Notamacropus eugenii: one gene and its partner. The protein of the gene in region 2 interacts with the protein of the main gene of each other region in a pairwise test. Links are inferred from orthologs where the notes say so. Each region holds a gene or a part of one and is shown on either strand. Other genes may lie near its edges.

Evidence for each region.
Region 1: the proteins of PRMT3 (region 2) and RPS2 interact in binary tests that used the Homo sapiens proteins (3 or more experiments, as listed by UniProt). The link is inferred for Notamacropus eugenii from reciprocal best matches to the Homo sapiens genes PRMT3 and RPS2.

What each region holds. Positions count from the first base shown.
Region 1 is NC_092872.1:48,372,971-48,389,180, forward strand, and holds RPS2 (small ribosomal subunit protein uS5), read left to right. Parts: upstream 1-9,219; 5' UTR 9,220-9,234; intron 9,235-9,577; 5' UTR 9,578-9,580; coding exon 9,581-9,757; intron 9,758-9,883; coding exon 9,884-9,973; intron 9,974-10,536; coding exon 10,537-10,644; intron 10,645-10,907; coding exon 10,908-11,081; intron 11,082-11,172; coding exon 11,173-11,332; intron 11,333-11,941; coding exon 11,942-12,033; intron 12,034-12,095; exon of another isoform or gene 12,096-12,228; intron 12,229-12,301; coding exon 12,302-12,382; 3' UTR 12,383-12,421; downstream 12,422-16,210. Other genes in the region: RNF151 (RING finger protein 151), read right to left, coding at 3,194-3,640, 4,060-4,156, 4,568-4,713, 5,923-5,925; NDUFB10 (NADH dehydrogenase [ubiquinone] 1 beta subcomplex subunit 10), read right to left, coding at 12,594-12,697, 12,945-13,084, 13,332-13,470.
Region 2 is NC_092877.1:29,735,592-29,752,187, reverse strand, and holds the start of PRMT3 (protein arginine N-methyltransferase 3), read left to right. Parts: upstream 1-7,744; 5' UTR 7,745-7,987; coding exon 7,988-8,015; intron 8,016-8,122; coding exon 8,123-8,273; intron 8,274-8,394; exon of another isoform or gene 8,395-8,417; intron 8,418-14,422; coding exon 14,423-14,505; intron 14,506-16,596. Other genes in the region: oxidoreductase HTATIP2, read left to right, coding at 1,694-1,755, 2,714-2,939. UniProt on the Homo sapiens protein: Protein-arginine N-methyltransferase that catalyzes both the monomethylation and asymmetric dimethylation of the guanidino nitrogens of arginine residues in target proteins, and therefore falls into the group of type I methyltransferases.

The DNA of each region.
Region 1 (16,210 bases), on a different chromosome or scaffold from region 2:
CTCTGATTCTAGAATATCAAGGCAGTTTTCCTTGATAATTTCATGAAAGATAATGTCTAGGCTCTTTTTTTGATCATGACTTTCAGGTAGTCCCATAATTTTTAAATTGTCTCTCCTAAATCTATTTTCCAGGTCAGTTGTTCTTCCAATGAGTTATTTCACATTATCTTCCATTTTTTCTTTCTCTTGGTTTTGTTATGTAATTTGTTGGTTTATCATACAGTCGTTAGCTTTCCTCAGCTCCACTCTCATTTCTAAAGCACTATTTTCTTCAGTGAGCTTTTGAACCTCCTTTTCCATGAAGCTAATTCTGCCTTCTAAAGTCTTCTTCTCCTCATTGGCTTTTTGAACCTCTTTTTCCAATTGAGTTAGCCTATTTTTAAAGATGTAACTTTCCTCAGCATTTTTTTGGTTGTCTTTTAGCAAGCTGCTGACTCGAAAAAGCTCTTCTATGGCCTAAGCCCATTTCATATTCATTTTGGAGATACTGGAGGCAGAAGCCTTGACTACCTCTGACAGTATGCATTATTCTTCCTCATCTGAAAGGATGGAAGGAGATACCTGTTCACCAAGAAAGTAACCTTCTATTGTCTTTTTTTTTTCCCCTTTTTTTGGGCATTTTCCCAGCCAGTTACTTGACTTCTGAATCCTTTGTCAAGAGGAGGGTCCTAGTGCTCCTCCTTCTCCCAGGACCATGCTCAGGCCTGAGATTCAGATCCTCTACTCAATTTCCCCAGAGGCTTTAAGCTGAGCTGCTTGGACAATGGACTCAGGCTGCTTCTGCAGCCACCATAAAACCTCCTGCTGCCAGCTGCTGCTGCCGCCACTGCCTCTGCCACCTCCTGAGGCCAGTGCTGGGGGGACCTGCTCCCCTCTTGCCCAGGTGGGAAAGCCCTCCCACACTGACTTTTGAAGCTTTCTTTGTTGCTTGTGGGTTAAGGGATCTGGGACCCTCCCTGCTGGGGATTCTGCCCTGGAGGCCTGTTCTGGTCCTGTTCCTCCCCATGCTGTGCTGCCAGGGCTGGGCTCCACTCCACTCAGTGTCCTGTGGGATAGACCTTTCCTGTTGGCCTTCCAGGTTACTTTCGGCTGGAAATCTCCTTCATTCTGTCGTTCTGTGGCTTCTGCTGCTCTAGAATTTGTTGAGTTATTTTTACAGGTGTTTTGTGGGCTGTGGGGGAAGCGCTAGAGTGTATGTATCTTTCTACTCTGCCATCTTGGCTCCACCCCCTCAGTCTAGTTTCAGTGAACTTATTAAAAATATTTGGAGAACCATTTTCAATATAATTAGTTTCCTTTTTAGTCGTACGTATTTTATTTTATGCATTTAAAAACAATGAGATTCTGTCTGTGTTCGTTCTTCATTTTTGAAGAAGACCACGACATCAGAGAAATGATGATGTGACTTGCATTTGACTTTAAGTAAGGGAGGGCTGTGCAAGGTCACCAGCCTCACTTTCTCCTCCTGAACCATCTGGGTCCAGTGACCCGGTCCATCAGGATGACTGGAGATGGCCCAGGATGCAATGGGAGACCTTGGCCTTTTTAGGCTGGCCTTTTCAGGTACTCAGAGGGAGGTAGCACCTTGAGTGAATAGGCCTCTTTAAGAAGTAGTCAGGGAATGACCCTTTTAATGAACAAAAGAAAAATAACTAAATCAACAGAAACTGTTGCTAGTGATAATCATTGTTGTCCAGCCCATGGGCTTCAGAGTGTACTGGCTTTAAGGTTTTGGGAACGAGAAGGAAAAGAAGGAAGGAAGGAAGGAAGGGAAATCTAGCTAGTAAACTCCAAATCCCCAAAGGAGGGTCAGACAGATAGAAGGGAGAAAATGAGCTGGGTTCCCACTCAGGTAGCTGTGCCTGCTCACAATCAGCGTTTGTCCTTCATTTTTGAAGAAGACCATGACGTTGAGATTATAGACTTCACCAGACTGCCAAAGGGATCCATGGAAAAAAAAGGCTAACCCCTGGCTTTATGGTTTCGCCCAGCGTTATGAGTCACCCTTTCCAGAATGTGTTCCAGCTTATTAATGTCTTCCTTCTTAGACTCTATCAGACCCCAGCTCTTAATATTCCTCCAAACCCCAACCATGCTCCTGGGGGTGGGCGTGGAGGGGTGGTGCCCATTCTCTCCCAGCTCAGCTCTAAAACATGCCATTAACAATACTTCAAATATTGTTTGACAGGTCAGATCTTCTTCCTTCATATCCAGTGTAGACCCTGGTTCTACTTCATTAATTCAATTACTGTCATGTCATACTAGAATCTCTCACACACCCCTGCCCCTGACGTTTCTTACTATACTCTTCTGTTAATCTCTAAATTTGGAGGTTATCTGCACTGTCCAGCTAGTCTGCTCTTAGGGTCCTTATTTTAGGGCAATCTACATGGGGAGGAGCCCTTGTAGAGAAGGGGGATCTCATGGCAACAGAAATAGGCTGCAGTGGAGACTGGGCCATGGAGGTCCTAGTAATATATGGAGTTTGGGGATTATCTCAAAGAGACACATGCTCCAGAAGAGTTTGGGGGGGGGGGGGGGGCACAGTGTGTAGACAGGGTAGTGCCTCAGAGTAGTGTTGGAGCTTCAAGGACAATTTTTAGACCACAGAGGACTCTCTCAGCAGTGTAGACTGGGCAGTGGAAGAAGGAAAAGCTGTTTCAGGGCTACTGAACTATAAGACCTAGGTTCAAACCTCAGCTTTAACACTTAATAACTATGTGATCAAGGGCAAATTAATCTTTCTGAACTTGTTTTTTTCATCTGTAAAATGAGGAGGATGATGTCATCTACTTAACAAGGCTGAGTGAGAATGAAGCAAAACACTTTGTAAAACTTAAATGGGAGAGTAAATGACAGCTATAGATAATATTGTTGGGGTATCCTCTGGGCAGCATAGACAGTTTCCTGGGGAAGAGGGGTACTGCTCAAGGCTGCAAGATATGGGGATGAAGTAGTTTTCTCAGAGGAGATGGGAGTCCTTGGAGGGAAATGTAACTTGGGATACCCTGTGTGTGTGTAGGGCGCATCGCAAGGCTGAGGAACAAGGCTTGGGACCCCTTGGGCTTCACCTTTATTCATCCTTCTCTATTTACAGTCATAGTAGCCTGGTCTTCCCCAGTTTTCCCTGGAGAAGGTCAACCCCAAGGGAGGGGATCTGGGCAGGAGTCCTGACCATCCAGCTGGGCAGGCGTTACACAGCAGCCCTAGGTGTCTCGGTGTTGATGTTGGATACATCCATGCTTTCCTCCTCTTCCTCCTCTTCCAGGAAGGTCTCCAGCCGGGTCAGCTGCCTTCGGATGAGGCTGGTGGCCCGGTGGATCCGCCTCATTCGATGTTGAAGGCGAGAGACTATGGCCCGGCCTTGTGCTCTCCGGCGGCCCCATGCCTCTCGGAGCTCACGGTAGCAGTTGTGGCTCTCCCTTTCAACAGCTGTGAGTGTGGTCCCACAGCCGAGGGGACAGCGCTGCTGTTGCCTGTGTCCACAACTCCGGCCATGTTCTGCTAAGGCTGCCCGCTGCACCCTAGCCATGCAGCCTGCATTAGGGCAAGGGGTGAGCTCAAAAGGACAGGAATCCAGGTGGATCCTACGCTGAGATAGGGGACAGGTGACACAGCAGCCAGCCTGGGAATTCTTGCACTGCACAGACACAGAGACAGAGTAAGGGGACACAAAGAAAGACAGAGAAGAGAAAGGTAGAGATGGGGGCAGGGGAGAGAAATAGAGAGGACAGGGGAGAGAGGAAAATAGAAGAGGGAAACAGAGTGACAAGAAAGAAGAAAAACAAGAGACAAAAGATGGAAAAGATCAGTAAGTAGCTCTGGGAAGCTTAAATTTAAGTTCAGCCACTTCTTATTGATAATATCCTCTCCTGGACCAAACCAATCTGCCTCCAAATACTGGATGGAAAGTAGTGGTTTTGAATGATCTATGCCCTCAGTCCTTTCCCAGTGTGGATGATCAAGGGACTGACATCAACAGTTACATTGGTTCTTCCCCTTCCCAACCTCTTGAAAAGTGAAGTTGCTTCCTGCTTTGTTTGATGGGTACTGCCATACCTTGACTTGCAGGCGGCCAATGGTTTTTCTGAGTCTGTGCACCTGGACCATCAGTTTCCTCTTCACTTCTTTCCTACAGCAAGGACATGTCTTTTGTCTGGGGAAGAGATAGAGAGTCAACAGACCAGCTTACCAGGCATGTTCCTTAGGAAATAATCCATACCCACCCACTACAGAGTATTCTGGACAAATGTTCCCATGACCCTTTGTAATGTGTTAGCTTATTAGCTAGCAGAATTCATTGAGGGAGCAATGGTCTCAAATATCTCCTCACTACTGGAAGGAAAGGGAAGAGGAGGGTGAAGGAAATGAGTTGGGAATGGCTGGGGCGGGGAGAAGAGGTAGTCATTGTCTGGGACCTTCCTAAAAAGGATTTTTTGTATAATGGATTTTCTTAAAGTGGAGTTTATCTTTAATCATGTCCTTGCCTTATTTTCACCTATACTGACACAGGTAAAAATGCCTACACTCATTCCCACTGAGTTGGGAGCGAGATTGCATATCCTACCTAGCCAGCCAGGTTAAGATGCATTTCTTGCAGAAGATATGCCCACATGGCAGTTTCACTGGTCGCTTGAGGACCCCGTGGCAGACAGAACATAGCAAGGCACAGTCTGGGGGGCTGGCAAAGAGGTTGAGATCATATCCACCACTCTGTAAGTTCAACCCAAGAAAGAACAGAACAGAGACATAGGATTAGTGACCAGGAGAAGATGGGATCCTCTCTCCCACCTGGCTTCTCTTCCCCTCCCCAACCTGCCCACTGGGGCATCAGCAAGAGGCTGGTTGTCTGATGTCAATACAAGAGTCCTCCCTCCTTTTCCAGAAGGAACTCAGCCCTTGAGTGCTCTATAATCTTTGAAGGCATGCTAAGTAACTTCACTAAAAAACAGGCACTCTGGCCATATAACCAATTGTTTACTAAGAAGGAAAATGGGACAAACTGGAACGAGTGTTCGATTTCTGGTCAACCCCCACCCCCCCACCTGTTCTTTAGTCATCCAGCACACCACGGGGGCCTGGATAAGCCCAAATCACATGCTCCAGAACTGAGTGCTGAGGTCATGGTCACATTGCCAATCTGGAGTTTCTGGAAGCCTGTACCCTCGGGCCAGATCATTCATACACTCCATTCATTCAAACACAGACTAGCAGTGATCATCAACTGAATTAGTAAAGTTTCTCTTAACACCAGATTCAGGCTTCCTAAGGAGTATTGTTCAGTTGTGTCCGACTCTTGGTGACCCCATTCGGGGTTTTCTGGAGTGGTTTACCATTTCCTTCTCCAGCTCATTTTACAGACGAGGAAATTGAGGCAAGCAGGGTTAAATGACTTGCCCAGAGTCGCACAGTTAGCAAATGTCTGAGGCTACCTTTGAACTCAGGTCTCCCTAACTCCATCTAGCTGCCTAAGTGTACATCCCATTTATTCTCAGCACTATAGTATTATCATGCTTTTTCTTTTTCTACAGCCCAAAGGATATACATTAACATAATAAAGAGAATGAAACCAGTTCGGAGGGAGAAATAACTTACCAGAGGTCACTTTGCTGCCTGAGACTGAGCCAGGCCTAGAGCCCAGATGTCTTTTTGGGGAAAGGTGAGACAAATTAAGGCAGACAAGAATCTGGGGAGACTTTTAATGGGTTGAACAGGGCTTATAGACCCCCACTACCACTCTGTTTAAGCTTCTAGTGACCTCCCCTAAGGAAGGTGCTACTTAGGGTCTCTGGAGCCAAAGGAACAGGCCCCCAGGCAACAATTCTCCCTTCTTTTGCCCTTACTATGGTGTAATGTACACTGAAAAATATGTGTGTCACCCCTTCACAGAGAACAGAAGTGGAGGAGAAGGCATGAACTCACCATGCTCGTGGTCTTGGGCAGCCGCACTACTGAGCCAAGCCAGGCTCAGACCCCATTTCACACCTCTAGTTCAGGTTGACATCACAGTCTCATTGTCTACCATCAACCAATCACAGCCTAGTCCTAGGGGCAGAGCCCGGCCAGAAAGGCTGATCAGGACCCAGTCAGGGGTGTTCCTGTCTTTTCTCCCTAGGTACCAGAAGGCCACAATGGGGACAGGATCAGACTGCAGTCATGGTCTGTTATCAGTTGCTTCTCCACTGTATATACTTTCATTTGATTCTCATACTCTTTGGCGGAGGACCGTGATGGTTTTTAACCTTTTTCACTGATGAAAAAACTGAACTCAGGTTTCTTCCAAGAGACAATGTAGTCCTTAATTTTACTGAGAAATTGAGGCCCTGGAAATTCAGGACTTTTTCCCACTGCAGACTTATGACAAGCTGTTGAACTCCAAGTCTAGGAGCACTGAACAGCCAAGTTAATTGCTAAATGAATGACTGTTATTCTGCCAGGGGATGACAAGCACACAATGAGTTCTAGAACTATCTGCTAATTTCCTATGATTTTTTGCAGAGTTCTTCCCCCTTTCTGGGCATTGGTAAAAATAAGTTTTGGATCAATGACCTTTGCTGGAGATTTCCAGTGTTTGGAACCTTCCCATTAGGAATCTATTTTTAAAAATTCTAGGCCTCCCCCATCCCCACTGCCAGGCTATAAAGGGATAATTACAATTTGTACTCAGGATCCAAAGGAGCCTGGAACCTCCATGCATTTAAGCACTTATTATGTACCAGACACTGCTAAGTCTAAGAGCTACAAAGAAAAAAGAGCATAGTTAGTAAGATTTCAGTAGTCCATGGTGGTAAATAAGGTCTAAGATGGAAAGGCAGGAGGTGGCCAGGTTATGAAGGACTACATAAGGTAGAGGATCATATATTTGAACTGGGAGGCAATAGAGAACTACTGAAGTTCATTGAATAGGGGCATGACAGTCAGACTTGCACTTATGAAGTGTCTTTTTGTTTCCTGAGAGCCATGAGAAATAACTCATTTTGCTAATGGGGAAATGTAAAAGGTTGTCACTTACAAATTACTCTTAAGATGGCAGCAATCATAACAAGAACCCAGAGCCAGTGAGATGGAAGCTTTTCAAATTGCATATACCACACACACAAAATGACACTTGGTTAATTGAGCTTTATTAGTCTCCTAGGTAAAAAAAATACAACAAAAAAAACAAAAACAAAATTATAGTGTTCACCTTCCATGTAACTCAATCCAAATGGCTGGCCCCTTATTTATCCATTAAACAAACAGTTGTACTATACTGGGGATGTACTCTAAACCGTCCAAAGGATTGATCCCTGCCCGCATGGATTTCAAGGAAACATTTACTGCAAAACGGAACTTTAGAAATCATATAGGAGTGATTGAGGTGAGCTCTTTAATCCATTATACATCCCCTCTCCGTTTTCCTCCAGTCTCAAAGAAAGCCAGACTTTCTGTACAAGTATCCTGGGTTTCTATACCAAATTTCTCTACACTCATTTTTGGTTATCTAATTAGCTCTGGATACCCTATGTGCACCTTCAACTTAAAATAGCCAAGTAAGAATTATTTCCTCCAAATAGCCTTAACTTTCCCATTACCCTCTGGTTCATACATCCATATCTGACCTTGTTCCACATCCATCCCCTTCTCGGTACTCTCACTCAGAAGCCCAAATTATGTCCCTGCCTCCCTTCAATTCTTCCTTACACACAAGTATCAAGTTGATATTACTCAAAACACAGATATCACATCACTTCCCTGAGTTCAAGAAGCTTCAGTAATTTCCTAGTGTCTCCAGAATAAACAAGATTTCTGTGTGGCTTTTCAGTAATTCACAATTCACTTCCACTCTATCTCTCCTGGCTTATTCCCACTTTCATATTCTGGCCAAACAAAACATTCCATTTGGAATGTTGTTACTGCCCACCACTTCTTAGATTCCTGATGAACCCAGTAGCGTGTGCTCTTCCCAGCCCATTTCTATCTGTGTTCGGTTGCGTGACCCTGTCACCTGCTGGACCCATACTGTCCAAGGGATTTTCTTGGCAAAGACACTGGAGTGGTTCATCATTTTCTTCTCCAGTGGATTAAGGAAGTCTGCCAAGGGCACAGAGCTTTTGAGTATCTGAGGTTAAATTTAAACTCAGGTCTTCCTGACTCCACACCCAGCAAGTCCCTAACTGCCTCCTAAGGACACAGAGGCGAAGTTACCTGCCCAGTGTTGGATCTGAACTCAGGTCTTCCTGACTCCTGCAGAGTATGTGGAGCCCACAGAGCAGGATCCACTTCCTTTTCGTCTGACCCCTGCCCCCCCAGATCTGTCATGAACTGGATACTTGGGGCTCATTGCCATCTTAGCTACCTCTCTTTCCCTACCCCCTCACTCCGCTTCTCCAGTATGTGGATCGTGGTGGGGGCGGGGGGCGGGGGACGGGACAGCAGGGGGTCGGTGTCAGCGGCGGTCCACTTCGCTGCGGGCCGGCTCCCTGCGCCTCCCCACAGAGGGGCTTTCCGTGCTCGTACCGGGACCCCGAGGTGGCCGTTCCAAGAGCTGGGCCTGAGGAGGAGAGGAGGGTTAGTGGAGAGGTCCCGCTGCTCCCACGCCCGACCCCCCCCCATCACGCGCCAGCATTTGTCGGGGCCTGGGTTTTATCCCCCACACTCAGTCTATGGGGGATAAGCTTAAAGACCCCCGGTGGCTGTGGGCGCCGTGGTCTCACCCGTGGCCATGGGAGCAGGCTGCGGGTGATTTTCAGACGACGCCGGCTTAACCCCCTTCCCGACAGACGAGCGCACCGCGGAGGCCCGGGCGCGAGATGGCAGGAGCCCTGAAGCTAGCTGCCTTCAGCTCCCCCTTCCCCGCCTGGCCGGGGTATTCCTTACCGGAGACGAGCCACGTGGGCCGCGGCTCCCCCACGGCCCTCCCGGGTACAGCACACTCGTGCTAGGAGGAACACCTTCGGATTGAAAGAAGCAGGAGAGCCCGCTTCCTCTAAATTTATACCCATGCTGCTAACCAACGCGGTTCCGGAGTCCCAGGGATCTGCTTCCGGGTCAGAAGCCTTAGTGGCGGCAGGAGTGCTAGGCCACACCTAGGCAGAAAAGTTGGAGGGGGCCGGATTCAACCAATCACAGAAGCCTCTCCGTTAATCTGAGTAATTCAGGAACCGGAGTTTCCGTCTAGAAGTTATCGCGAGAACTAGCTCCATATAAAAGGTTACGTTGCGTCTCACTCGGCCTTCTACTTCTAGGGAACACGTGAGTGGCTCTTTCTTGCTGCGGTATTTGGGGGGGAGGGGAGAGGAGAGGTGGGGAGAGGGCTGGGAGGACTCCGCGGGGGTCGCCGCCGCCCTTCCCTGGGGGGACGCGTCCCAGCTTGGGCCGGGCCGGGGCCGGGCCTGTCGGGTGCGGTGGGGCGCCCCGCGGAGGCTCGGCCCGGCATCCGTTGGGCCTCCTTCCTGGTCCGGGCCCCGCCGGCGGGTGTTGGTCCGCAGCGCTCGGGCGCCCTTCGATGCTGGCCCGAGCCTCTGCTTGGGGTGGGGGGGAAGGGGATCTCCGAGCCCCCGCTCTCAGCTCCGCTGACCAGGGTGTCTTCTCACAGCAAATGGCGGACGACGCCGGTGCCGCGGGAGGTGCGGGGGGCCCCGGGGGCCCCGGAGTCGGAGGCCGGGGTGGCTTCCGCGGTGGCTTCGGCAGCGGGGGCCGAGGTCGGGGCCGGGGCCGCGGTCGAGGCCGGGGCCGCGGCCGCGGGGCCCGGGGAGGAAAGGCCGAAGACAAGGAGGTGAGTCCCTGCTGCGCTGCGGGGCCTGCGCCTAGCTCTTAGGCTGCCGCCGGGCAGCCCCGGGCCGGGGGTGGAGGGGGGATGGCCAGCGCCCCCCGTAACCTACGGCTCTCCTGGTGTGTCTAGTGGGTGCCTGTCACCAAGCTGGGCCGGCTGGTCAAGGACATGAAGATCAAGTCTTTGGAAGAGATCTACCTGTTCTCCCTTCCCATCAAGGTACAGGGGAGGTGGGGAGTGGCCTTCCGGGGGTCTCTACCAGGGAATCTCCCCAACGCCCCTCCCCAAATACACATTTTTCATAGTCCCTCCAACCACTTTTCACCAAGAGAGGCCGCTTGTAGTAAGGAAGGAAGGTAACCACAGCACAGGTGTGCTAGCCTGGTGGCCAGGAGATGTAAGGGGTAGTGGACTAGCCCTGCCTTGACTGACAATTTACTTATCCTCACTTTAACCGTATAAATGACATCTCCCATTTTAACAAGGGGGAAAGTGTATTTGCCTCAATCGCTAATTGTTTAGGAAATCTTGGTTTTTCAGAGACCTTATTTCTTAAAAATACGGTGGTGTCCATATTTACATATAGTACGTATATATATATTTGAGTCACTGAATCTACATGAGGTCTAGCCTCTTAACCTGAAAATGAGGGTAGGATTCAACTCCCAAGGATCTCATGGAGCCAGTGTGTAAATCACTTTATCCAATTTAAAACTTGAATTGTGTATAAAAACTTAGATACTGTCTCCACTAGGAATCTAACCTAATCTTATTTTCCACAGGAGTCTGAGATCATAGATTTCTTCCTGGGATCTTCATTGAAAGATGAGGTTCTGAAGATCATGCCTGTTCAGAAACAAACTAGAGCTGGGCAGCGTACCAGGTTCAAGGTAATTTGTCTTCTTGGGTTAATTCAACCCACGCTTCATTTTATGGGCCCTCACAGTTGGCTGAAATTTGTTATATTTGTGATTTTGCAGTGAAATTCATACCCCCATCTCCAAATTATTTGGGGGAAAGTTCTCTGCCATCCTGGTGTTCTTCCTTACTAAGCAGTCATAGTCAACTAAATACAGGGCATCTGGCCACCCAGCTAATGTTTATATATGGGAGGGAGTTTTAAGAGGTCCTTCTAAAAGCAGTTTCTCTGTAGGCTTTTGTGGCCATCGGTGACTACAACGGCCATGTTGGTCTGGGTGTCAAATGCTCCAAGGAAGTAGCCACAGCTATTCGTGGTGCTATCATTCTGGCCAAGCTGTCCATTGTTCCTGTGAGACGTGGCTACTGGGGGAACAAGATTGGCAAGCCTCACACGGTGCCCTGTAAGGTAAGAAATAGGAGTATAATAAAGGGCTGTATAGCCTGTTGCCACATGACAGGAGAGGTGGGTTATCACTGAATTGCTCTTTGGTCTTCAGGTCACTGGGCGATGTGGATCAGTTCTGGTGCGCCTGATCCCCGCCCCTAGAGGCACTGGCATTGTCTCAGCTCCTGTGCCCAAGAAGCTCCTGATGATGGCTGGAATTGATGACTGCTACACTTCTGCAAGAGGATGTACTGCCACTCTGGGCAACTTTGGTGAGTGAGCTTTTAAAATACTCATGCTGGCAGTATAGCTTTACCACTGGTTGGCAAAGGAATTTAGGTTTTTAAAATAACATTTAGCTGCCCTTAGTTACACTAACAAAGATGAGATTATTAAAACCCAATGAGAGATTTTAGTGTTCTTTGTAGTGAAGAATGGAGCTTGCATTCTGTGGTAGAGGAGGCGTATACATAAATTGGAGGACTAATTTGGGGGTGTCAAGACACTTTGTGTAGATAACATGTGAATTGAGCAGTGAACAAAGCTGAAACTTCTATGTTAGCACACGTGCATGAGTAGGATTGGGATTTGGAAATGGGGGGGAGGGGTGGTGAGGAGTCAGGTTAATGTTGTTTGATGCCATTGTTATCATTGATTACAAAATGGGTAAGCCAAAAGTGAGATGAGACTTGACAGCCCTAAGGGCACTTAAACAGTATGGCTCTGGAGAACTGGAAAAGAACTTTTTGTGAATTCAGAGCAGAAAAGGTGAACTGAAGGTGGTTCCGTTCACTGAGCATGTGAAGTCTTTGGAAGATTTTTATTTTCTAAAATGAGTTGGGTTAGGTGGCTAGTTAATTACATGTAACTTCTTTCAACAGCTAAAGCTACTTTTGATGCCATCTCCAAAACATACAGCTATCTAACCCCAGACCTGTGGAAGGAGACTGTGTTCACTAAGTCTCCTTATCAGGTATGATATGATGGGAACTTGGGGGGGAAGTAGAACTGAGACAATTTGGGAAATAATTCCCCATCTCCTTAGCTCTGCTCAGTTGCACTTGGCCAAGCATGGTGTGACTGTCGTACACAGGAGAAAGAACAAGAATTCCCTTTGACAACAGCTTGACCTGCTGTGGTCTATCTGTTTCTATGGGATTTGACAACTAACTTGCCTAAACTGGAGGTTGTGTTGTACCCAGGAGTAAGTACAGTGAATGAAGCTTGTTTTGAAATTGCAGGAATTCACCGACCATCTTGTGAAGACTCACACTCGAGTGTCTGTCCAGAGGACCCAGGCAGCTGCTGTGGCAACCACATAGATGTTTTTTGTAAACAAATAAATTGAACCATAAATTGAACTAGATACTTGTAGTGGTCATTATTGATTGGGGAGGAGAGGGAGGCCAGACTGAAGTGGTTTACACCCCACCCCCATTTGCCAATCTTTTGGGCTTGATAAAAATACGTTACACAGATAGAACTGCAAAGACTTTTATTATTGGGAATAGAGATCAGTCAAATTTTGCTAAGTCAGGCGGCTGCAGCTTCCTTGGCAGCTTTCCGCTCAGCAAGCATTCGGTGCTTCTGCTTTGCAAGACATTTCCGAGCAGATGAATTGGCTCCAAGTTCATGATCTGTGAAGGCAGAAAAGCTTATAGGATTTAGGACCACAGGATTTTGATTTGTCAAGCAGGTTAGAGGTAAAAAGTTGTGCCACACCAGGCAAAACCCAGGGCTTAAAACCTACCCAGTCTTATGATTCCTAACAGTGAATCATCATACTTGATGTATCATCAAATCACATTCCTGCTGGCTAACTTCCACCCACAGACCACTGAGGCAAAGAGTAGCTTGTGTATATATATGGACCCCATCACTCACATCGATCCTGATAAGCTTTTGCAACCTCATGGAACTGTTGGAGTTCTTTCATACAGTTCTGTTTATAGCTGTCTCCTTCTCTCTGCTGACAGGCCTTCAGTCTTTCCTGAACAATATTAACAATTTCTTGATCAACTTTGCTGAAAGAAAAGGAGAAATGGGTGACTTACTTTTCTTGGCTCATGCAGCTAAGGAACATTCACTCATCCACCTCCCCAAACTATATACCTTGTCCAGGGTAGGATAGTGAAACCTACTGAGCAAAGGGCCAATTACATATTTGTAGGGTATCTTTATAAGCAGCATGCTGTGACTGATTAGGACAATATAATGAAGGTGTAAAGGGTGATTCTGGGGTACTGTAGAAACAATAAGTGGCATACGTACTAGTCTCTCTTCCACTGCATTTCTGCTTCAAATATGCACGCAACATCCCCCTGCTTGCACTCGGTTATGTCTGGTACTCGGCGGTATTGTCGATGATAGTAATAGGTCTTATTTTTGGCATGTTGTTGCTCGATAAATTCTGCAAGAGAAAAAGTCCATTAAATCCTTAATCAGTTTCTACAGAAAATTCTCATGCAGCACTGGAGTCTAGGTACTCTTAAATGTGTAGTATAAAATATTAGCTATTAAATTACGTACACATATGTAATTAAATATTAGCCTGACATTTCAGCTGCTAATCTTATTTTACTCAGTGATTACTATTAGGCCTCCCAAAGGCCATCCCCCACCCTTGGTTCCTACAAGTGCCCGATTAGCACTTTCTCATTCTCTCATCTGTCAAGCTCTCATCATTCCGAGGCTCTTGATGTCTTTTCAATTAATAGTATTTCCCTCTTCTCAAATACTCCTAGAGCATTTGTCTCAGCTGTCCCCATTGTTCCCTATTTCTATTAATAAAGTAAAATAATGCCTTGTATTTTACTTACCTATTCCCTCTTCCCTGCTTCCCCCCATTTCCCCTGCACAGCATAGATGTTGAATGGATTTGCTTTGGATCCCAGCTCAGAAATGATTAGAAGTTTTCTGGCTTTTTAGGTGGGTGGAAGATGACATGATTTTTTTTCTCTTTCCCCACTCTGTAGACTAATCTAGGGTAAGCAGGGGGTGCAGCATTAACACTTGAGAAGCCCCCACAACAAAGGGGGTTCACATGAACATCTGTCATTTTATGAAGAAACTAAGCTGAGTGGGCTTGAAGATGACCATATCTTATCTCTAGTCATCAAATCCTACTTTACATCTCAACTGAACATTGGGATGTGGGATACCATTCCATCAGATTGCCTGTGTTCATCCTGCAGGCAGTCGGTTTGCTCCCCCCTTCTCATCTGCTCCCCTTCCTCCTCTTCCCCATCCCTAACTTTAATGGATCTGAATATCACAACCAAAAAGCCCCACGCTCTCTAAAACCAAGAAAGTACAGACAAATCTCAATTATCTTAACAAATGGATAAGTCTGATCCACAAACATTCCAAAAGTCCTTCCTGTTTGCTTTGGAATGTATTATACCATGGTATATCTCACTCAAAACAAGGATGACACAAAAAACCTGAACAACAAAAATGAATGCTGTTAACTCCATACACAGATTGTGGCACTTTCCTCACAGTCAGGTCTCACAAGGTCTTTCTAACAATTTTGGTTACATATCTCCCGACCTACAGTGGATCAAACTACAGATAAAAGGGATGTGAAGGACTGCTACCGGCAGATGCTGAGAAAAGCAAGATGTGACAGCTGCAAGTCTGAAAGTGGAAGGAAGCAAGGCAGATTACAATAAAATGACTTGCACTCTCAAGGAGTACAGTAGTTAGGTCACATTATAGGACCCAATAGCACCTGAGAGGATGACTGAACTCTATAGCCCCAAACACCTGGAACCTGTCAGTGGCTCCACCAACTAAGACTGTAAGTTGCCAATTCAAATGGGTTGAAGTTGGGAGTGGAGAGGAAATCCATGCACAGATAAAGTTACAGGCGCAGACAGTGACATATTTAACAACGACCTAGTAATAAAAAAAAAAGAAAATGATTAAAATATTGAGCAAGGCACTGTCAAAGATATCTGTTTAAGAAAACAGCAAATGAGCGGCCAAAAACTGGAAATCAAGGGGATGTCCATCAATTGGGAAATGGCTGAATAAATTATGGTATGTGAATGTAATGGAGTACTATTGTGCTATAAGAAATGATGAACAGGAAGACTTCAGAGAGGTCTGGAAAGACTTATATGATCTGATGCTGAGCGAAAGGAGCAGAACCAGCAGAACTTTGGGCACAGCAGCGACCACAGTGTGCGGGAGTTTTTTCTGGTAGACTTGGATCTTCATAGCAATGCAAGGACGTTAAAAAAAAAAAATTCCCAATGGTCTTCTAAGGCAAAATGCCTTCCACATTCAGAGAAAGAACTATGGAAGTCAATCGCAGAATGCAGCAGATCATTTTGTGTGTGTGTGTATGTGTATTATGTTTTGGTTTGATATTTCTCCCATTTATTTCAGTTCTTCTACACAGCATGATTATAATGAAAATGTATTCACCAAGAACATATGTGTAGATCCTATATAGAATTGTATGCCATCTTGGGGAGGGATGGGAGCCGTGGGGGGTAGGTAGAGGGAAAAAAAAAATCTAAGTTTTATGGTAGTGATTGTAGAGCATTAAAAATAAATAAAATGAATATATTTAAAAAATAACAGTAAAAAAACCCCCCCAGCAAACTGGCAATTTAATAAAAAGACATTTGCACAGCTCTAAAGTTTGCAAAGCACTTTATATAGGTTTGAGCCCTATAACGAATAACCCTGTGAGGTAACTGTTATCATGATTTTGCAGATGAAAAATTGAGGCTCAGGTTAAGTGCTCTGCCAATAATCCCAAGCTGGATGTGAAAAGAGAGATGAGTCCAGCTCTTTTTGACTCTGGGTGAAGCCCTCCATGCACAGTGCTATATCGCTTAATTTAGAAAAATTTCCAAGCCAATAGTTCAAATGTTCAAAAAAATTCTGAACATTCAAAAGGGGTGCTCTTTAGTAACATGGGAAATTCACTTCCAAAGAACAGCTCCTTAATGGGTCGAATAAATAAATTCTTCTTGTACTGCCTTTGCAGAAGATTTCCTCTCCTTACATCACACCTAGCATTATCACTCAAATCCCACTGTTCAAACAGAGGAGTCAAAATACCTGTAAAAGGAAGCTTAGAGTTAAAAAAAGAAAAAGCCTACTTTTGGAGAAGTTAAGATGCCAGGTTTCCT
Region 2 (16,596 bases):
ATGGTGCCTGAAGCAGCATCTTTTCTGCTAGATCATTTTGATTGAAAAATTTTTTCCTGAAGAATCTTGTAAATTACTTTGCCTAACATAGAAAACTGAAGGTTTATAGGTTTATAAAATCCAACTCTCAAAAGGACTTTAATGATCATCTAGGCTCTCACCTTTATTTTATGGATGGGGAGGTTGAGGTTTGTCAAGGTGAATGGCTTGATTCAAGGTTATATAGCGAGTCAGATGATAGAACCAGGGTTAAGACCTGTGTCTGCTGATGCCCAGGGAGACAAAAACCTTAAGGGTAATCTCCTTAAAAGATGGTACATTGGAGCAAATAAAGAAGCAGATGAAGTCATGACTAGCTGTGTTAACCCTGGGCAAGCTGCTTACCAGATTAACATCTCTGGGCCAAAGTTTCTTGTTCTGTAAGATGGGCAGAAGGATAACTTCCCTCTGGTACGATGGGTATGTGGGTGGAGGAGTAGACCTACCGAAGTGCTTCATGGCCTGAAACCCTATGAAAGCCACTGGTCTGGAATATTAGTCTGAGAGCAGAGAGACATTTATTTTTATTATCACACAATGTTCTTGTTTCACACAGTCTGCGATTGCCTCAATGCAGGGAGCTCTCTTCCAAGCACTTTTTCTCTCAATGAAAATCAGAAATTTCTCCGTGACTTAGTCTTACACCCAAGGGGCACGCTTCCCTAAGGTCATATATGGCCCACAGGTTGTCAGAGGTAGAACTTGAACCCAGATCTTGACTTTGAAGTCAGCATTTTGTCCACTGCATCACATTTCCTCAGTGTAGTGTTAGCCTTCAACTACTGACCTCTGTGGCTTCTTTTAAGTCCCAACTAAAACCCCACTTTCTACAGGAAGCCTACCCCAATGTATCTTAATTCCAATGCCTTCCCTCAGTTAATTATTTCCTATTTATACTGAATATAGATTACTTCATATGTATTTGTTTACGTGTCTCCCCCATTAGATTATAAGTGCTTCACACAATGCCTGGAACATAGCAGGCGCTTGATGAATGTTTATTGATTGATCAGAAGTTTATCAGAGAATCTCAGGATTGAGAAAGGCCCTCAAAGAAAAACCTTGTACAGTTCTCTAGAAATGAACTTTTAGTAGGTCAGTTCATCTCTTTGAGCTTCCATTTTACCATCAGGGATTTGAATGAGATGGGCTTCTCCAGATTTAAAATTTTCTTATTTTTATATATTCACAAATCTGATAAAAGACCTATTTATACCAGTGCTTTGTCATGACATGGAGGAGACCCTGAGTTCTTGTATGCAATACTGGTGGGGTCAAAGATCTGGTAGAACCTGTCCATCTGATATGCCAGGTTGACTTTGAGTCTAAACTTAAAAATGACTGGATTTGAGTCATCTTTGCCATAGACAATACTTCTCTTCTAAGAACTAACTTGGCTAAGTGAGGAGAGACTCATCAACAGTAGGTGATAAATTTCTCAAGTCACCCACTAAGGCACTGTGTTGGTGGATGATGTGCCCACGGCTATAATCATGAATTCTTGGAATATTGAAGGAAATGAATCATAGGTACAACTCAGACTTTTGGGGACTGGCTACTCTGCAGAAGGTGAAGTCATTCTTATCTTGAATTTGTCGGAGTAGAGCAGGGAGCGATGAGTTGATTTTAATTAAATACTGATTTATTTTTTTAGGGTGAAGTAGAAGCCAAAGTTGAAGAACTTAACTTTGATCGGTACACAATTTTTAGGCCTGCGTAAGTATTTTAGTGCTGCATATACTTTCTTGCCTTCAGGACTAAATTCGGCTTTAGGGGAAGCTGATACTAGCTCAGATTTTTAATTTTTAGTCAAAAGCAGAAGATAATCATACATTTTGGGGATGTCATATTTTCTTGTACTAAATAATGAGGAACTAAGGAACATCTTCAAGACTTAGATAAAACCAGGGATAGGAAAGGATCATTGTGACAGTGTCAAGAACTTTGGTCTTGGACATTCCACTTGACTCCAAAGATTATATTTTTCAGTGCTTGTCCCTCTGGCTTTTATTCTGGTCTGTCTGTCTAGTCCAGAAATGGACAACTCAAGATGGCCAAGACAGTTTATTCTGTCAGCACTCTACAGCAGTGGTTGTGTGTGTGTGTGTGTGTGTGTGTGTGTGTGTGTGTATGTATGTGTGCAGTGGTCGTGTGTGTGTGTGTGTGTGTGTGTGTGTGTTTGTTTGTGTGTCCTTGCACTGATAAAGTCTATGGACTTTAGACTTACCATATAGCCTTTAGGACTTTCTAGATATTTACCATAGACTTTATGGATTCCTTTGAATAATGTTTTTAAATGCATAAAGTAAAATACATAGGATTACAAAGGAAACCAATTACATTGATATGCAGTTATCACTGTGTACTTTTTAAAGAATTCATAAACCCCAAGTTAAAAACCCCTGATTTAAGGAGAGCAGGGTTAAAAAGAACTACTCTTTCCTTTCTACTTTTGGGCAAGGTGGTATTAGCTTGTCCTGGTGACATCCCTGCCTTTGCTTTTGGGAGAAAGTGGGATAAGTATCTTTTTAGAGTAGCTAGGAAATACTTGCTGGGCATTATTAATTGTCTCCTTAATTTTTTTCCTTAAGTATCAGATGAAATCTTGTATCCAAATTCTTTCTAATTATGTATTTTATCATAAGATATTTGTTTTTCTCCTTGTACATTTTAGAGTCCTTTTATGTAACAGAAAAGAATCCCGCCCAGGTGAATGGTTGATCAGAAAATTCTTTAGTTCACTCCCAACCTCTTGGGCTAAAGATCATTCGGTACCCGTTACAACTGTTGTCAGAGCAATGGTTAATAACCTAATAATGCCAAGTGACAAGAAGAGGGAGTTGCTGGACAACCAGGCCATCCATAACCTTGGGGAAGCAGAAGACCTTAACAAGCCATGATCCCATTAGGAAAAAAAATGCCATTTCTTCCTGATTGCCTTTGATTGTCATGTTGACATTGTCAAGATAATAGGAATATAGAACTATATAGTTTACATATAACATAATAATTTGAGGCCCCTTGGTGGAACAGTTGATAGAATACTGCATTTGAAGTCCAGAAAACTTAGTCCAAATCCTGCTCCAGACATCAGCTATGTCACCTTGGGCAAATCACTTCAATATTTCTCAGCCCTAGAGTCTTCATCTGTAAATGATTATTATAAATAAATAATAGCACCTACCTAACAGGGTTGTTGTAAAGCTCAAATGAAGTAATGTATGTAAAGCTCTTTGCAAATCTGAAAACATTCGATACATATTAGCTATATTATTTGTCTGAAAAAGTTAATTTATTTAGTAATTCCTAACCTTTATTTTTGACGCAGTTGGGTTTAAGTGACTTGCCCAGGGTCACACAGCTAGCAAGTGCCAAGTGTCTGTGGTCGAATTTGAACTCAAGTCCTCCTAACTGTAATGCTGGCATGCTATCCACTGCACCCTTTTTGGAGGCAGCTGGTGTTACCTAACTTATTTAAATGTCAAAATTATGGATCTGACTCACATGTTACAGTATCAGCTATTGAGAAAATATGTAATCAAAAAAATCTACTCTAGATTCTTTTAAATGATTTAATATTTTTATTAATAACAGCATCTATATAGTTTTTTTAATAGCCATTTATATGTGTGTGAAACATTTGATCTATGGAAGGCTGGTTTATTTATAGCTTTGCATATTAATTCCTTTAGCCTTGTAATAACCCTGCGGTCCTTTGGGGTTCTGCATTTGAGAGTCAGTGATCTAGTCAAAACTTTGTGTGGTCTTTTCCTCAATCCATTAGAACCCCAGTACTTCTATTACATGTTAATTCTGGTCCATTTTCCTAATACATTGTCAATTCTACTTGTCGTATGCAAAGCACTCCTTCTTAAGTTATAAAATTGTTTTTAAAAAAAGATTCGTTTGGGGACTTTTTTTCTCCATGAATGGAAGCATGGTTACAGTGATCCAATTGGTTCAGATTACAGAGGTTGTGGCATACTGTATGTACATGGTGGCTTAAATAAGTCCTGTGCCTTTACTGATTATTTAAAATACACAATAAAAAGGGAATATCTCGAATGATATTGTGGTTCTTGAATTAAGCAGAAAAGCAACAAAGGTTACATATAACTCTTGTTAACCTTTTTTCTTCTGTCCTGGACCCCTTTGGAAGACCGAGTGAAGCCTATAAATCCAATCTCAGAATAATATTTTAAAATTTGTTAAATAAAATACAGAGGAATATAAGGGAAATAAGTTATTTTGGAATATAATAATCAAAATAGCTATAAAGTAAGTTCATGCATTCCCTGAACTAGGCGGTTCTTTAGCTGTAGGTACTAGGACTAGAAGAAGACCCCAAAGTTACTACCTGGGGGCTTCCTATTGTTACATTAATGCAAGAGGGTTGTGCACAGCATCTGGCACATAGTAGGTGTTTAATACATGCTTATTGACTTCACTATCCACTGGAATTTACAGGAACTCCTTTTAATGGTTAGTAAGGCATCTCATTCAGATTACTGACAACTGAAGTTGAGGTCTCTCGTTGTTCATATGGCTGGACTCAGATCACTGCAGAGTTGAACCAAGAGATGTTTAGGGAATCTCTGCAGTTCTCTGAATTTAGAAGGGAAGGGGCCTTAAAGATGATCACACCCAACCCCCTAACCAGCGATGATTCCCCACTCTAATATCCAGCCTCTGCTTGAACACCAGTGGTGGCTGTCTACTCCTAAGTCAGCAAGCCTTACTATGTGCCAAGAACTATGCTAAGCACAGGGAATATGAACACAAGCCCTCAGGTAGCTAATATTCTAAAGAAAGATGACATTGCTCATCCTTTCATGGGAGAAGACCAATGACATGAGGGTGATGTCTAGACTTTCCAGTAAATTGGATTTAAGTCAGGCAGAGCTTGGCAAAGATGTAAATCTCACTCTCCTTCCATGAAAGGAGACAACACCTAAAAGGGAGTGGAAATGGGCAGAGGAGAAGGTACCCACACTGGGGCAAGGTGATGAAGCCTGGAAGGAGCAGAGCCAGGAGAAGAGTGATGAACTGCTGGTTGGAGCATTGCCTCAAAATAGAGGTTCCAGGAGGAATTCACCAGTGGGAGGAGGGATTGCAGGAGCAGAAGGATCATCCAGGGCAAGAAGGGAGCTGGGACAGGGTGGAGAATCTTGGAAGTGGAACTGGGGGAGGACTTCAGATGATTTATTGTAATCTAATTCCTACCTTTTTCAGTTCTCCCTTCCATAACTTGAATGTTCAATTTCCATTTCATAACACAAACAACTTTTCAAGTATTTGGAGAGAGCTATCATTTTCCTCCTATAGCCCCTCTTATAGCCCCAACTTGTTTTCTGTGCCAGACTATCCACATCTAGCTTTTCAATTGATTCTCATATATCATAGTTTCAAGCCTTTACACAATCTTGACTTTTTTTTTTACATGCTCTAGTTTATCAGTATACCTTCTAAAATGTGCCTACTACTGAAGACAGCCTAAGTAACAGTGCAAATAGATTTTTATTTTGTCTGTATCTGTGATTTCAGGGCAGCTAGGTGGCACAGTGAATAGATGGAGGGCCTGGAGTTAAGAGGACCTGAGTTCAAACCCAACCTCAGACACTTAAGGGCAGTGTGACACTGGGCAAGTCACTTAACCCTGTTTGCCTCAGTTTTCTCATCTGTAAGATGAACTGGAGAAGGAAATGGCAAACCACTCCAGTAGCCCTCCCAAGAAAAACCCAAATGGTGTCAAAAACAACTAAACAAATCAATCCTGTTATTTCTTTGACATATGTAACTCCTGGTAAGGAAAATGCTCCCACCAGCATGGTAACTATTTTTCAATGTATAGATTTAGGGGGCACAGAGATTAAGCGCTTTGCTCAATGGTCATGCAGCTAGTATGTTAGAGGTGGGAACTCTAGATAATGTATTATTATCTAGAGTTATGGTATACATAAATATACCATTATGTAGCTTATGTATTAAGCTACATAATGCAATTTATGTAGCTTAAGATCACATTAACTTTTGGGACAGCCCACATTCTACTGATACTAAGCTTTTGTTGCAGTCAGGACAAGATCTCATCTAAGTTTTGTATTATTTTCCAATGCCTCATGCAAGGCTTTGTACATTATAATTACTTAATAAGTATTGGTTAAATGAATGAATTCAATTAATATTTAAGTGACTAGTATGTACAAGATAGTACATGGGAAGCACAGAAAGATATGAAGAAATGTAAAGTATTGTTCCTACTTTCCAGGAGTTTAACAAGCCATCCAGTTGAACTGGGGCTTGTGAGTGTCAGGAAACCAGACTGAGTTTCAGTACCTGGGACAGTGTGATGAGTAGATGATTGTGGACTGAGTAAATGAGTAACCAGTTGTAACTCCTTGACTAGTGTCTATATACTTCAGAAAAAAGATATTTGCACAGTGAAAGTCACGGTAACTTTCAGTTGAAACAGTTCCTATACTTGGACCCAGAGAATCCAAATATCACCATCCTCTAACCTTATAAAGTGGGGTTCTTTTTCCATTTCTATGATTTCATCCCTATAGGGAATTATCTGAACTATTGCAGTACAGAACCTACTTTACAATTTATAGTCTAGAGTTACCAAGAGGACCGGAAAGGTCAATTAACTGGTCTAATAGCTAGTATGGGGCAAAGATGGGGTGAAAATCCAGGTCTTCCTGACTCTGAGGGCAGCTCTCTATGCCATGAAGCCACCGATGCTTCTCATTTCCATATTATGAAAATTAATAGTTAAAATTAATAGAACTTAAAAAAAAATGGTTATTAAGGACGATTCAGTGCGCTAATAGGACTGCGAAGCTGTATAGCCTAGCAGCCAAGTATAGCGATTGGGTAGTTTAGGGGGTGGTGCTATAGGTATACTAAGAAAGGGGATATTAGTGTGACCTGGTATTTTAAAACTGAAAGGGACCTTTTAGTTCATTTAATCCAGTTCCCTTGTTTTATAGATAAGGAAACTGGCCCCTAATTGTGACTTAAATAAGGTCATAAAGGGAAATAAAGAGATAGAGCTCAGACTAAAAGTAACCACCAGGATGCTTTTTCATCACTCTGCAAATAGCTCTGATTTTAGATACGGATAGGAGGGCGATGACATTCCAGCTTTGAAATTAGCCTGGCTTGCCTCCATGATAGAGGCTCGGGGAATGCGGCATCTGCATAGGCTGTCTGCAGTGCATGTGGGCAGGATTGTTTGTTTTAAATTTAAGAGGACATCCTCGGTGCCCTGGCCCGTTGCAGATCCTCCTCCCCCTCCTCCATCTAAGGGCTCTCAGCCTGGTTGCGGCGCTGCAGCACCTGGGGGAGGGGGGGATGTAGAGGGAAACAATGTAGCAGGGAAGCGTTTCTTGGTTTCCTTTCCTCCAAGGGCTGGAGGGAACGGGGCAGGGAAGCTGCAGAGAGGATCTCAGAGGCCATTTAGTTCATCCTTTTACGCCCCGGAAGGCTGAGTCACCTTTCCAAGGTCACAGAGACTAAGCTTAGGAAACGGGATTTGAACCCTGGGCCTTCCTCTGCTAAGCCAGGGACCACCAAGAGCGGCCGCAGCAAAGAGAGAGCTCTAGCCACGCCCTCTTTGCAAAGGACACGCGGGGGCGGGGGGATCAAAGGAGGGGGAAGGAAGAAGAGTCCCCACCACGTGACACCCCTTCCCTGCTCGCGGAGACGGAAGAGGGTGCGCCAGATCGCGCGCGCGCAGACCGTCCTTCCCTTCCCCCACCTCCTTCCGGCCCTTCTCTCTCGCCCCAGAGCCCCCTCACTCCAGACCGCGTGCGTGCGTGTGTGCGTGCGTGAGTGCGTGCCGGCTGCCCCCAGGCCCTCGCCCCGTGGACCCCACGCTCCAGCCCCGCGCCCCGCCGTCTTCCCCCTCGGGAATCGCTCCCCTCCCCGCGTGCAGGCGGCCGCCATGTGCTCCCTAGCAACGGGCGTCACCGGTGGGTATCCCCTTCCTCTTAGCAACGGGGGCCTGCGGCGGCCCAGGCCTGCCGGGCACGGCGGCCGGGCTTGGGCCGAGGCCTCAGCTTGTCTTGTGCTTGTTCAGGCGCCGGGCGCCGTCTGGAGGCGGCTGAGGAGGAGCCGCCAGCCTTGTCGGACAGCGGAGACGAGGCGGCCTGGGAGGAGGACGAGGACGAGGACGAGGAGGCAGACCCCCGCCGCGAGAGGCAGCAGACCCCCTGTCTGTTCTGTGACAGGTTCGTTGGCTGGCCCCCGGGAAGGGCGCCGGCGCGAGGCCCAGCCTCAGTTTCCTCACCTGTAAAAGGCTGTATGTGAAGAGGCTTGGCAGACTTAGAGACCTGGGTTCGAATCCTACGTCAGACACTAGGGTGTGACCCGGGGTAAGCCTCTTAACTCAACGAGGGGATTGGACTACACACGTGCTTGACCTCTGGTCCTTTCCACCTCGAGTCCCCCAAGTTCAAGTCAAAACATCAAGCATTTTTAGTACGCACCTACTATGTGCTAGAGAGCTGGGAATACAAAGAAAGGCAAAAGACGACTCCTGCTCTCCTGGAGCTCCCAGTCCAATGAGGAAGACAATCTGTAAATAACAATCTACTCATTTATCCTGGGGATACTCCGAGGAAGGGAAGAAGGAACGAAAGTTAGGGGGCTTCTTGCAGAAAGTGGGGCTTAAGCTGAGACTTGAAAGGAAGCCAAGAGGCAGAGATGAGGAGGGGGAGAGCCCCGGGACTGGGAGACAGCCTGGGAAATCTCCAGGAGCTGAAAGATACAATGTTACAGGGGAGAAACATCAAGGAAAGTAGAGTCACTAGATCTCCCAGGGCTTGGGGTAAGGTGTAAGAAGACAGGAAAAATCAGGGACTCTAGGTTCTGAAGGGCTTTGAACCCCAAAGGATTTTATATTTGCTAATATAATAGGGTTATGGAGGGGAGGTTACAAGGTTAGACCGGTACTTTAGAAGGAATTGAAAGCTGAGGAGAGGATAGACCCAAGTGGAGAGAGACTTGTGGCAGGAAGACTAACCAGCTGGCCTTAGCAATAGACAGGGGTAAGGAGATCAGGTCCTGTAGCAGGGTCAGGTTATGAAGGGCTTTGGAGAAAGGATTTTAGATTTAACCTGGAGCCATTGCAATTTATTGCATGGCAGATAGGACAATCATTTTGATAGCTGAGTAGAGGTTTGGCCAAAGAGGGAAGAGACTTGAGTTCCCTTCCAGCTCTAATATATTACCCTTCTATCTAAATGCTAGCCCTAGTATCTACTGAGAGGTCTTTCTGTGATCTGCATCAGTCTTAGGGGACGGAATTGTGTGACCTCAAGTCACCTAGCTTATCTCAAGGGAGGCAACATGGTGTAGTGGAAAGACTCCTAGATTTGGAGAGCACCTTGCTTCCAGTATTAGCTCTGTCATTTATAAGTTGTGACTTTGTGCTTAATAAATGTTTTCTCTCTATATAAATATTTTGGGCCAGTCACTTCATATCTCCAAGGCTGTTTGCTTAACTGTAAATGAGGGAATGAACCAGATGACCTCAGAAGGAGGAACCTTCTAGTTGCCTTTTGGGGCTTCAGTTTCCTACACTTAAATGGAGAGGTTTGATAGATAATCTTTAAAACCAGCCCTAACTGCTTATAAAAATGTTATATTTGAGTTCTGAAGTTCAAATTGAGAGATAGTAATTAGTAGTATTTTAATTGAGAGTTGACTGCGACATCTTTTGTTGCTTCAGTATTCTCATTTATGCTCTTTGTGCAAGAGGGCGCCTTTGTATCATGTGTTACACTTTCCTCTAAAGAGTTTTCTGAAGTTCGTATACCTCAGTAATCAGATCCTCCATTTCACAGATGGGGAAACAGGTTCAAAGAAGTCTAAGCCAGTGGCTTGGATGAACCTCTAAAGAGTATGTATATCAAATCTGAAGATGAGTGATAAAATTGAGATTTTGAAAGTTTTTGGCTGGCTGGAATGAAGGTTTGAATCAAATCAGGTGAAATTTAATTGGGTTAACATAAAGTTCTGTACTAGGGTTCAGAAATTAAGATGTACAGATATTGATTAGGAAATGTGTAGTTCCATAACATGAATTCCTAGTTAGCACATTTGTAGTATTTTGTTCAGTTCTGGTTGCCTCATTTTTAAGAATGATGTTGACAGAATGGATTGTGTTGAAACTAGGACATTTAGAAAGATGAAGTTACTTGAAACTACCCTAGAAGTATCATTTGAAAGAACTAGTTATGTTTAGCTAAGAGAAGAGAAGACTTGAAAAGACATATTTTCAAACTTTAAGTGTAGAAAAGAGATCAGACTTTTATTTTACTTGGTCTCAGAGCAGAGCTAAGAGCAATGGGTAGAAGTTACACAGAGGAAGGGTTTAGGTTGGTATGTGAAGAGCTGTCCAAGGTGAGAGGGCCTGTCTCTGAAGGTAAGACCTCTCCATCTCTGGAGGCCTTCAGGTGGACATTGGAGGGGGAGTCCTGTTCTAGGTATGAGGAGCCCTCATTTGCTGGGAATTATGGCAGTTACAAATTTTGAGAAAATTCCTCCTGGAGAAAAAAAAAGGTGTGACCCTAGCTATGATTTGAATGAGAAAAGAAGCCTGATCACATCAGAAATTGGAATTTTCCAGAAAAATCCAGTCATTAAGCTGAAAGACTTAAGGGTGGGAGATGAGAGAGGGGGAAGGAGAAGGGAATAAGCATATATTTCATGCCTCCTACATGAGAAGCTCTATGCTAAGAACTTTATAAATGTCTCATTTGATTCTCATTGCAACCCTGTGAGGTAGGTGCTGTTTTTATCCCAATTTTACATGTGAGGAAACTGAAGCAAATGAAGATTTAAGTGATTTGCCTAATGTCACACAGCTAAGTAGGTGTCTTAAGGGTTTGAACTCAGGTCTTCCAACTCTAGGCCCAGCGCTCCATTTACTCCTGTGCCCCCTTTAAGGATATGGATACGCACACATATGTGTATGTGTACATCTTACATATATATGTATATATTATTATCTGTAGGCAAAATAAAATGATTCTTTTGATAGTGTATATCCCCTCCTTGCCCTGCTGTGGTAGTGATGCTATGGGGAGGAATACCTTCCATCCATAAGATTCTGCAATTCTGTGACTTGTCCAAGTTCACATGACTAGTAAATGCCAGGGCTGCTCAAAATTCAGTCTCTTAGCTCCCAGTCTGGTACTTTTTGTTTTCCTTGTGCTGCTACTCTCTGTGAATGTTGCTGTCTTGTTACTCATTAGGATAACAGGACTTAGAACTTAAAGTGACCTTCAAAGTTATCTCATCAAGCACCTCATAGAAGTTAACTGATTTCCCAAGGTCACACAGAATGTTGAAGAGCCAGTATCAAACATGTCCTTAGACTCCCAGTCCTGTGCACTTTCTACTATGTCATGCTCAGATTCACAGCTATATTTCCTTAGGTCTGATGAGTTCTACAAATCCTTACTTGGTGAAGAATTTCATTCAAACTAAATAATTGATGCACACGTACTAGCACATATGAGACATTTAATCAGTTGTTCTCAGTAATGCTATTCAATATAGTTTACTTTAAGCAAAGTCCTAGTTTTTGTGTCCTTCAGTTTTGCAAGTCACATAGTAAAGAACTTTGGACTTCACGATGCCATGTACGTTTGGAATGCCAAGTAGGTTTGGAACACTACAAGATCATTTTGGAAGCTTTAAAATCCTGTGGGAATGTGCCAGATTAATAAATTGTGCTTTATACTTTTTTTCTCTAAAAGCATTTTGTGCCAGCTCAGAGCCTTTAAAAGTGCAGTTTGCACTTTGAGGAGAAGGGAAGAATTCCAAGTAGAAAATATTCTTTATCATTTTTATCAGAGAGAAAGAAAAAAGGCTTTATGTGTCCAAGACATTTTGTAACAAACAATCTTATGAAATAGAAATTATTGTCATCTTAAAGACAAATGAACTTTGGTAGTAAAAAGACAAATGTTTATATTAGTGCCAAATAAAAGCCAGACCTGGTAGTATGATGTAGTGAGTGGTAAGAATCCTGGAGCATGACTCAGGAGACCTGGATTCTTGTCCAGGTTGTGCTGCTGGTAGGCAAGGTGCAACTAAAATTGTGTCTTATCTTAACTCAGGATTGGATGATCTCCAAAATTCCGGCTCTTGAACTTTGTGATTCTAAGGACTAATTTTGATTTGAAGTAATTTACAGTTCTTCTTTTGCAAAAGTCCTACTTTTATATCTCATGCTTTGGAGGTGACCCTGTGTTCTTGAAGCCTATGCAAGTGAAAAGCAAGTCTTGGCAGGTTCCAGCAAACTGGAAAGACTTCAGATATTATTCCAGCTATAGATTATTTCTTTTGTCTGGGAAATCAGGCTAAATGTGGAGATGTTAATCACTAGAAAGCTGGAGAATTTTTGGCAACAGTAACCCATGAAAGAAAAAAAGCAGCAAAAAGTTCCTCTCTGATGCTGACTCCTTTTCCAGTGATAGTGGCATGACAGGAGAAGGGATAGAGAGGTACTTAAGCATGGCATGGTTCCTAAGATTGTTTGTAAACATTAATTCAACTGCTTTTATTGTAAATGAATGAATGATCTTTGTCCAACAACCACGAATTGATTACAGTAGGAACTGAATTTCATCCCTATTGACATCACTATTATTGAAGCAGAGATGTCAGAACAAAGTTGCAGCTAGATGGAAGGAAAGGTCAAAGTCATCCTAAATTTAGAAAAAAATTAATTAACAATTTATATTAATTAACAAATTAAAAAGTTAGCAGAGTTGGTTTGTATGATATTACACTCAAAGGCAACAGTAAGAACCATCCTTTGATGGGTTGCTTGGTCATTTTGTTTTTTCCTCCTCACAGTGAACACAGCCTCCTGGTTGGCACTGATTCCCTCTGTCCTTAATTCTTCTTCTAGTGGAGGAAACCCAGTTTCTTTTCTCTATTCTGTTCCTTAGATTCACTGTCCAAAGGTGGCAGGCCTCTCCTTTCTGGTAGACACTTTGATGTGTCCTGCAAACTCTTGGGCCTTGCCATCCACCCTGTACCCTTGGGGCCTTTGGGATTTCTGTCCACTCTGAAGATGAACTCCTCTGCTGCATATGTTGGCTTTCCTGTTTGTAGTGTTAGGTCCTTGAGATCAGGAACTTTTTCTAGTCTCTGTCCCCAATACCTGGCACATGGTTAAATGGTGTTTTTTAGTAAAGGGTTTTTTTAATTCATTCAGAGACTGAATAAATTGAGAATTCTGTTTAGCACTTGACCTTATCCTCTCCATAAAGTAAATTTCTAGAGATCAGGGCTATTTTGTTTTGGTCTTTTGTGTTTCAAGTGCATAGCACATAGTACGCTATTAATTTTTATTGTATTGAAGAGCCTGCAAAATAATTGAACATTTACCTTGTTACTTGTTGACTTCCACACAATTGGGGAAGAAAGGTGAATTCAACTAAATCTGCGGTATTTTCAGCCTGGGAAGGAAAATGTGGCTTGAGATAAAGAAATACAAGTTCCCTTAAGCTTTTAGAAGAATGAGAATCCTTATATCACATTTAACAAACTTTCTTCAAGGAGGCAGTGAATAGAGTGAGCCCCCAAAACAAAATTAATTATATTTTGATAACAATGAAACAAATTGGTTATAGATGTGAGTCCTTCCAAACTCAGCTGACTGTACCAACAGATAAAACGAACTGGTCGGAACAAAGGTCAAAACTAGAACCAAACGAGAAGAAAGGATAAAGATTTAAATCAAATAGTGGCATACCACACTTTCAGAAGAATTACAATTCCAGCAGTGATGACTTGCAAGTGACAAAAGATACTAATAAGAATATTTAGAGTAAGAAATAACAGATGCTGAACCTGAATGTTGCACTGGTACGTATTAAAATGTTAAAAGAACTAATGTGTAGGGCTTTTTAGCACAGGAAATGGATCCTTTGCGGTATACTAATGGAAAGACAGGGACAATATTTACACAATATGGGAGGGACTGGTAATGACTGTGAACTTTTTAATCACTGGAAGTGGTACCCATTTTGAAGAGATAACAGATTCATTGAAATATGATATGATACTCATTTAATATTTAGAGCAATCAGGTGACTCAGTGAGTACAGTGCTGGGTCGAGAGTCAGGAAAACCTTAGTTTAGTTCTAGCCTCAGACATGTCTGTGACTGAGCAGGTCACTTTACATCTGCCTCAGTTTCCTTCTCTGTGAAATAGGAATAATAATAACCTCCTAGGGTTTTTGAGAGGATTAAAAGAGATAATATTTGTTGGAGTTTTGGAAACAAAATTCTATATAAATACTGCTTGTCATTATTCCTTGGCCTGTATCCCTTGAAGCCTTTGCTTACATTTCAGGTTATTCACTTCCGCTGAAGAAACATTTTCTCACTGTAAGTCTGAACATCACTTTGATATTGACAACATGGTGAATAAACATGGTAAGTATTTTTTTTTAATTGATTCATTTATGTTTAGTTTTCAACATTCATTTCCACAAGTGCTGATATAAATATTTCAGTATATGTATATGGAGCCTTTGTTATTTTAATTCTTTTCATTCTGGACTTAAACATTGAAAAATGAATATTTCTACATACAAAAAGGAACATGAAAAGATTATATATAAATCCTCTAATCTTAGATTATTTATAAATCCTCTAATGTTACCAGCAGGTTACTTTAAAAAATGTGTACACACATGTGTCTGTGTATATATGTGTATATATCTACATATGTACATAAAGTAAATTTTGCATCTTTCAAAGCCATCCTGCTCATGTGTGCAATTTTTTTAATTAACCAGCTTTTATTTTTCTCCTACCCCCTCTACTACTGAAAGTCATCTCTTATATCCCTCCCACCATGCTGGTCCTTTTCCTGTGGGTGGCTTACTTCCAGGGCATCCCTTTTAGGAAGGATTATAGGTTGGTCAACTCTTGTTCTCTTTTTTACTCTGTTTCTGACACCCTGCCTTTTTGTCTTCCTTTCATGTATTGTCTTCTGGGCCAGGCCCCTCCCCAGTGTCACAGACCTCTTAAGTTTTCTTGGGCTTGAAAAATGTCTCACTTTGACCTTTTATTATCAGGGCTTGAATTTTATGAATTTTACATATAAGCTAATAAATTTCATTAGACTTAAGCGAATGACCTGATTAACAATATTTATAAATTCTTTGGGAGAAGTGTGAGGGTGTGGCCAATACACATATGAAAAGCAAACAAAAGAATGAAACCTTTTAAATTTCATATTCCTTATATGGGAGAAATCACAGCCATTGGAGAAATGCTTATTTTAAGGATCAAGGTACATATGAAGTATTTTGAAAGTACTTAAATGCTAACAATATTCCTTTGAAAAAAATTGGTGTTATTTTTAAAAAGAGTGTAGTACTAGATCTTTTTATTTACTTTGTTGGAGCTGGGAAAACATGACTTAACAAATTACTGCTACAGGATTAGATTTAAGGCATTATTTTAAAGTTCTTTAGAGGGGAATATTGAGAGAGTCTGGCTGTGGTGTTTCTTGTACTCCACCATTTTGGCTCCAACCCTGGATATCAGAGTCTTATCAGAGATATATAAGTTTTTTCTTTTTTTTTTTGGCCTAATTGCTTGCTTTGCCTCTTAGCCTAGCTGGTTTGACTTTGTAAAAAAGTGGTTCATTTTCATGTAATCAAAAGTACCTATTTTATCCGTTATAATTGTTTCTGTCCCTTATTTGGTCAAGAATTCTCTCCCTCTCTCCCCGCCAGTATCTGTGAAAGATACTTGATCTAGTCTCCTCTGATTGTTTTCTGTTTTTACCATCTGCTTTTCTTCTCAGTCTTGTCTAATCATACATCTGGTCCTGCCTCTTGACTGAAACTGCTCTCTCCAAGATTCTAGCAATGTTTTAATTGCTAATTCCAACGACCTTTTCTCACCCTTTTTTCTACATTACCTCCCTGCTGCTTCTGACACTATTGACTGACCACTTCTCTCTCCTCCTTTGGGTTTCATAGCTTTCCTCCCTAGTCACATTTACTGGCCTTCATCTTCCTGCCTTTTGTTTTGTTTTCATATGTCTTGGACTTATTTTCTTCTTCCTTTGAGTCCTTTTTATTGGAGATCTCATCAGCTCCCATGGATTCAGTTGTTACCTCTGTGCAGTTAACCTCTGATTTTGTGTGTATACATACATATAAAACCTTGATTTCTCAGCATGTTAAAAGTGGAATTTATTACATTTTCCCTAAAATCATCTTTGCACTGAATTAATCTATTTCCATTAAGGGAACCACTGTCCAGTAACTAAAGCTCATTGCCTTGAAATTGTCCTTGATATTCTTTTCTTTACCTTCTCCCTCCTCTCCTCCACCACACTGCCATCAGATGCCAACTCTTGTTGCTTCTGCTTTCTCAATGTCACATTTATCTGCCCCCTTTCTTCCATCCATGTGACATAACCCTAGTTCAGGGCCTCATTGTCTGATCTCATTGCTTCTCTCTCTTCCACCCAGATGTCAAGGTAATAACAATAGTAATAATCAC